Linked DNA regions of Nothobranchius furzeri. The protein of the gene in region 2 purifies or fractionates together with the protein of the main gene of each other region. This does not show direct contact. Links are inferred from orthologs where the notes say so. Each region holds a gene or a part of one and is shown on either strand. Other genes may lie near its edges. The genes, in order: growth arrest and DNA damage-inducible protein GADD45 beta and map3k4.

Region 1 (3,488 bases), on a different chromosome or scaffold from region 2:
TAACTTTTGATCCCAGATGTTGATGCGATAATCAGTTTAAGTAAAGGATTCATTATTTCTGACTCTGTTTGCTTCTCATCAGTTTTGTTTTGAAGAAGAAATGACTCCAGGTCCTTTAATCTGAACTCTGAGGAACTCTTCCGGCTCATTCTGCAGATGACTACACTTCCCATGATGCACCGGGATAAACTCTTGCATAAGCACTTCCTGTGCCTGAGGCTGCTGGCTGTAAGTCTGACAGTATCCCAGCACCCTTTCAGAACCGAACTTAGTTCACACACACACGCACGCACGCACACACACACACGCACGCACGCACGCACACACACACGCACGCACGCACGCACACACACGCACGCACGCACACACACACGCACGCACGCACACACACGCACGCACGCACACACACACGCACGCACACACACGCACGCACACACACGCACGCACACACACACGCACGCACGCACACACACACGCACGCACGCACACACACACACGCACGCACGCACACACACACACGCACGAAACACTCGGGAAGTCATTTATCTTTCAACTGTTTATTTACATCAACACGCTGATTCATTCTTCCATCAGGTAAATAATCAGACATGACGTCACTGTAAAACAAAGTGTCCAGTTGTGTCCGAACAGGTGAGCGGAACACCTGCATCACTTGCAGCCCAGTCCGGAACGTCACGTGCAGCTCCTCGCTATCACTCATCGCATCAAAACGCCTCCATCTCTGTAACTCCGCCATCCAGCACGGTCCAGTTCGGTTCGGCTCTCGGAACCAGCAACGACACCTCACGCGCTCCTGACCGGATGGGTCGGTTTATGCATCCACGGCTCGGTCCCGCGCCTCTCAAACGCCGTTACGCCTCTTCTCACGAGGACTGGTCGTTTGCGTTAATTCAGCTCCATCCACCGCTCCTCGGCGGTTCTGCTCGGTTCGGCGCCAGTTAGCGGTCCTGCAGCTCCAGGCAGGGGACCCACTGGTTCTTACAGCGGCTCTCCTTGCAGAAGCTGCTGACGTCCTGCAGGGCCTGGCACTGCAGCGGGTGGACCGGGGGATTCTGCAGAACAAGGCGGACATTTGCTTTAGTTTCATGCAACACAGATTCATCTCCTGGTTCTGATCTAAGTCAGGTCCATTGATGCAGCAGCGCGAGCTCAGAACTTACAGTGACCAGGATGCAGTGCAGGTCCCGGGGCTCGCCCCCGTTGCCGTTCCCGTCCTCGGTGTCGTCGCCCAGCAGCTGGGCTAGCCGCCGGATCCCGGACACCCGCAGGATGTTGATGTCGTTGTCGCAGCAGAAAGCCTGAAGCAGCGTGAAGTGGATCTGCAGCGCGATGTCATCTTCATCCTCCTCATCTGTGGCTAGGAGGCAAAGGACCACGCTGTCCGGATCTCTGTAGGAGGAGAACAGAACCGGGTCAGAACCAGCACCGGCGCGCGTACAGGCACCAGTCGGTCACAGCTCCTACTTACACATTCATGAGTTTGGCGGACTCGTAGACTCCCACGGTGAGGCAGTCCTGCCGCTGCGCCGCCACCAGCAGCTCCTCCAGAGCCTGACTCACCGGCTCCATCCTGCAGAGACACAGAGGCGGTTAGACGGGACCGAAACCGGCACAGAACGCAACAGAACCGGCGCGAGCTCTAAACACTCTGATAATCTTGCATCATTTGCACTAAAATGTGAGCTTGTGCGTAATTACGCATCATCTGAAAGCAAATACTTACTTTTTCTCGGTGCTGCTAGACCCAACAACTTCCTCCAGAGTCATGTCGAAGTCAGTTAAATAATCCACAAGATCCAGGATAAAGGCAAATATCCACAGCGCTCAGCTGTTCCGGTAAGCTCCAGAGATGAAGTGCCAAGCAAGCGTTAATCCAGATCGGTACCAAGGTCCGGTAATAGGGACAGGTCCTGCTGCTGGTTTCCGTGTGTGAGAGAGAAGCGTTCTGCTTCTAAAAGATGAAACTCTCCGCTTTTATAGCCTCCCGTCAACGCGAGCAACTGCTCGAGCACTGATTGGCCCTCTGCTATCAAAAGACACTCGCTGATTGGCCGAGCACGCAGCAGAAACCGGCGATCCCACGTGGGTGGTTTCGGAGAATCCCCCGCACTTCTCCCCTCCCCTCTCTCTGTCAGTTTGTTTACTGGGAGGGTTTTTCTGTCTTGAGGAGGAATTTCCAGATCTTCCTCCTCATCCTCCTTGCTACTCCAGACCCCCCCCCCAAAAAAAAAGTCCCTTTTCACGACTCCTCCTCAATCTGAATCCATGCAGGCACGACTTTATGCAGAACCCGGATAAGAAGCGGGAGCAGGTGACCAGCCTTGTGTCGCAGCAGCACGCACCCTCCACCCCCACCATTGTACAACGCGCTGCAGGTTGTGCAACAGCGAGATTCTCCAGCACGAGAAGATCAGATGACCCATCGCTGGTCGTGCAGCTGGAGGTCCTGCTTTATGATATTCCAGGTCAAGACACAACACCTGTGCTACTATGATCAGGCAGCTGCAGCACACAGAGCAGACACTCTAAAATATAAATACAACTATTTTGTGCATAAAAAGCTCTGAATTATTTACTTCTGCACACCAACCCGCGCGACCATGCGGCGGTTAAAGAAGATGGATGGAATCACTTCTGCGCTGCAGATTCATGCCTCACATTCTGGCTTCCTGCAAAGCCCAAGGGCGCCCCTAGCGGCGCCCCTGCAGCAGTGAAACCAGAACACGTCTCCATTCGGTGTTCCGAACACCGGCCCCGTTGGGGGGGTCCCGGGGGGGTCCCGGGGGTTCTGTTGCATCCAGTTTCTGGATGCTCGTGATCAGGGAGGAAGAGGAAGAAATGAAACTGAAAACAAAAGTCTGATGATTCCTATGAATCCTAAAAGAAACCAGAGGGAATTTTTAATAATAAAAATAAAAAAACAGAGAACGAGTCAAGTTTTCACTGATGAACAGTTTCAGACAGAAAACATGAGCAGGATTTAGACACGAAGATCATATAAACGTAGCTTTACGATCTGTGAGAAACTGATGGATTTATCAAGACAAAACAACCAGAAGGCTGTTTTACGCTCAGGTCCATCGGCCGTGCTGTAGTTAGGGTTAGTGGTGGGTTAGTTTGTGAGAGGATGATGCGCAGAGGGCTCCATTCCTTATCAGCAAGATGTTGACATGTTTTTTCCTAGAGAAATAAATTTTAAAAATAATTATTTAAATAAAAAGCCTGAAATAAAATAAATTGTATTTTAAATACAAAATATTTAAAAGATGCCCGGGAAATGCATGATTCTGCTGTCTCCATGTGGTTATAGGTTAATACTTAATGAGTCATCATGATGCAGAAAACTCAGAGTTCATGAGGCAAAACAAGAAGTCACGTGATGAATCTGCACACTATTAAAACTGTATAGCAACAGTTTAATGACTACATTTAGATTTAGTTCTTAAATTAAATTATTGATTGTTTTA
Region 2 (3,820 bases):
ATCGTCCTTGTAGTTTTATAAGCTGATAATTAAATTGAAGCAAACATCTTTACTGTGAACTAAATTTACTGTCTATCTTCATTACTTTTGCCATTTGATTTTACCTACTGGGAAGTTAGAATTTCAGAGGAGAAAGCGAACGCACCATTAGCTGATAACAACGGTGGCAATGGAAGCTAACATATCAAGCTAATGTTATCTTAAACAGTTTATCTAACTGCTGGAGCAGATTAAAACGATGATGCCTCACACTTAGATCGTTGTCACTGGTTTCATCTTCACCCAATCACCCGTCGCATTTAGTAAAGTGAAGCCAAACTTTAGAGCGCGTTCATGTTCTAGTCGGAAATTCGGAGTTCCGAGGAGAAAGCGAACGCACCATTAGCGGAACGGAAGCTAACATATCAAGCTAACGTTATCTTAAACATTTTATTTACCTACCGGAGCAGATTAAGATGAGGATGTCTTAGATCGTTGTCACTGGTTTCATCATCACCCAGTTACCCATCACATTTAGTGAAGTGGACCCAAGCTTTAGCGTGCGTTCTTTCTACCCATGCTGCTCTGTTTACAACTTGCTCGCAGGGACCGACAACATAACGCTCTTGCGCATGCGCAGCTGTCTTGGCAAGTTCTCGTTATGAAGGACGGGTACCGAAACGAGGCACCGTTTGAAATGACGTGAATCGGTGCTCAGTCGGTACTGTTGAATTCGGTCGGTACCTTAAAAAGTACCGAATTCGGTACTCATCCCTAAATGACGCAGATTTTTTTTTTTTTACTAGTTAAGCACTTCTGGGATGTGTCCAAAATGTGACAATTTGCAGCAAGTAAAAACACACCCATCAGCTATAACAGCAACTAATTGTTGCGTACTGTGCTTTGCGAAAGTTATGCGAAGCTTACGCGTCCGGTGGAAAGGCCGAGTAGAACTCCTACTTGTCCAGAAGAAAAGAAAATTATTAAAGGTTTGCTTTAGTCACCTACTAGAGCTGAGGAAAATAATCAAATAATCGATGCATCGGGATGCGGACATAAACGATTCTTCATCGTAGAAGAGTACGCCATAATCGATTATAGTGGAATGTAGTTTTGTTTTTTTAACGGCGGCACTAGCGCAGCATCCAAATCTGTCAGAGTGAGCGTCCTCCACATTTACCTCCGCCTTAATGTGGTACTGCAGGGCTGAGCGCTGGAGTTGTCACCTGAGACCAAACCGGAACCGAATCAGCCCAACCGGTTCTGTTTGATTTGGGCCGTGAATTATGTTAATTGAGCGGGTTGTCGTGCGGCGCGCTCCGCTCGCTCGATCAGCGACAGAGAGAGAGAGAGAGAGAGAGAGAGACTGTCTGCTCACACAAGAGAGACGATCGGAGGACGCTCCTCCACACCGATGCTCCAAACACGCGTTATTTTCATAATTTAATTATTATTTCTCCTGGAAGCGCTCAGTCAGACTGCTTGTTGTAATGTAGGGAGATCCGGTCTTGGGGAGGGGGCGGGGTCAGTGACGGCGGCTGCAGCGTGATCGTCTGTCTCTTTTATTTAGGGAGACGGATAAGTTAAAAGGAGAGGGAAATGGAAGTTCTCGTTCCACTTTATTCTTTTGTTTCATGATGATAAACTGATGTTAAATTCAGCTTCAACAGAAGCTGGGAGGAAGCGTTGGTTCATTTTAAGTTACAGGAGGTCTTGTCTCCTATCTGCTCCTCCTGAGACAGCATGGACATGAGGGTCACATGGTGAGGGTCCCACAGGACAGGTTAGTGGAAAGGTTTGTAGTTAGCTGGTTAGTGAAGGAGATCCATCAGCTGGGTAATTTAATCCTAATCCAGCCCACAGCCTTCAGCTGGTGTTCTTATCAGGAAGAATAAAACACACATCTTAAATATTATTGGAAGTGTAGAATTTGTTTTGTGTTTTATTATTTTCTGCATCAAACAGAACTTGATTCATTCTCCAACATGTCAGAAATGAACCACTGGGTTCAAATGAAATTAAGTCAAACATTTCATTTGGTGTTATTTCTGACACCCTTCAACTGTGGCATAAATATTGGACTCTAGAGCTGCTCAGAGACATTAAACACTCATATATGAGCCCATTATGGATTTTATTATTACATTATGTGTCCTGAAGGTTTTCAGTACTTTTTTAGATTTTGTGAGTTTTTGCAAAGCGTGTTTTTCTCAGCCTGAGGCGTGGTGTTGAACGAGGAAACAGATGTTTTACTTTGTTAAATCTTAAATGTTTAAAATGTTTTGTCCTAACCTGTTGTGAATGGAGAGCTTTTGAGGAATGGCAGGTTGTGTCAATTACGTTTTAGATTCAAATCAATTCAAGTTTTTTTATATAGCGCCAAATCACGACAAGAGTCGTCTCAAGGCAATTCACATAATAAACATTCCAATTCACAGTTCATTAAGCCAATAAGAAATAATGTTTCCTATATAAGGAACCCAGCAAATTGCATCAAGTCACTGACTAGTGTCAGTGACTATACAGCAATCCTCATACTAAGCAAGCATGCAGCGACAGTGGAGAGGAAAACTCCCTTTTAACAGGAAGAAACCTCCAGAGAATCCTGGCTCAGTAGAAGCAGCCATCCTCCACGACTCACTGGGGATCAAAAAAATAGATAAAAAAATAAAAAGCAATTATCTGACATCTTCTATTTATCGATGAAAACAAATCAATATGAAATAATCGTGATGCATCGTGATGCATCGGGATATCGAATCGAATTGAATCGTTGACCCAGTAATCGTAATCGAATCGAATCGGGAGACAAGTGAAGATTCACACCTCTATCACCTACACTGGTGAAATTAATCATTATGCTGTTTGAGGGAGACGTTGTGTGTATTTTTTTTTTTTTTTTACTTTTTACCACCAACGATAAAATAATACACATTGTATAATATGAACTCAACATTTTTTGCCAGACAGCACCGAGAATGGCACGATTGAACCCTTGCAGGTTTACTCACCAGAAAAGCTCCCCGGACTGGGCCTCGCCTCCACGAATGTAAGGAGTGATGACTTTAGTGAAGTGCCATTCCTCCTCCAACAGGTTCTTTAGACTGTGAGAGGCCTGAGGCAGCTGCTGCAACATTCTGATCCAACTGCGCATATATTCAAAGTAAACCTGCAAAAACAAACGTATTATACGTATATTATATATACACAACCCCGTTTATGAATTTTTACAGTTCCAAATTACAAAACTATCCAGTTTTTGTCCATTTATAATTTGAGTAAACGAAGAAGGGAAGATTCTTACCACCAGCATCTTGTGAAGATCCTCCTCAAACTCATCAATATTCGCATTCGTCTGCCAGCCTTGAGCATCGGTCACCAGCCCACGCAGCATAAACTGATAATACTGCTTCATCAGAAGGCCTCCTTTAAGAACTTCTTTACATTCACGAACCAGCTGCTTAATGCTGAGCAGCGATGGGTCTCCAGCCGGCCTCTGTTCAAGTCTTAGTTTAAGGCATTCGTGAATAACATTGAGGAGGACTCGGCAAAGCACGAGAAAAGCCGGCTGGAAGGATGGGAGATCCATACCCAGCAGATCCTCCCAGGACACTTGGTCAGCTTCTGTTTCTGGATCAGTAGGACCACTGCAGGACAAGTGGCGTGACAGCTCAGGCAGGTATTCGCTGTCCATCATGGGGTCTGGGAAGTCAGCAAACTGAGGAAGAAAAAGATGCAGTGGGTCTGCAGGTCTAACTAACCCTAGGATTTTTCAAAAACCGTTTGGTAGTAATAAGTAGACGAACTTTTTTTTGTCTATGGTCCTACAAGATAAAAAATC

The links.
Region 1: the proteins of map3k4 (region 2) and growth arrest and DNA damage-inducible protein GADD45 beta purify together in Homo sapiens (co-immunoprecipitation; 3 studies listed by BioGRID and IntAct, counting the BioPlex papers as one, with this or other methods). This does not show direct contact. The link is inferred for Nothobranchius furzeri from reciprocal best matches to the Homo sapiens genes MAP3K4 and GADD45B.

What each region holds. Positions count from the first base shown.
Region 1 is NC_091748.1:78,786,102-78,789,589, reverse strand, and holds growth arrest and DNA damage-inducible protein GADD45 beta, read right to left. Parts: upstream 1,975-3,488; 5' UTR 1,789-1,974; coding exon 1,745-1,788; intron 1,592-1,744; coding exon 1,490-1,591; intron 1,411-1,489; coding exon 1,182-1,410; intron 1,074-1,181; coding exon 960-1,073; 3' UTR 542-959; downstream 1-541.
Region 2 is NC_091752.1:17,929,551-17,933,370, forward strand, and holds part of map3k4 (mitogen-activated protein kinase kinase kinase 4), read right to left. Parts: intron 3,698-3,820; coding exon 3,284-3,697; intron 3,149-3,283; coding exon 2,991-3,148; intron 1-2,990. UniProt on the Homo sapiens protein: Component of a protein kinase signal transduction cascade. Activates the CSBP2, P38 and JNK MAPK pathways, but not the ERK pathway. Specifically phosphorylates and activates MAP2K4 and MAP2K6.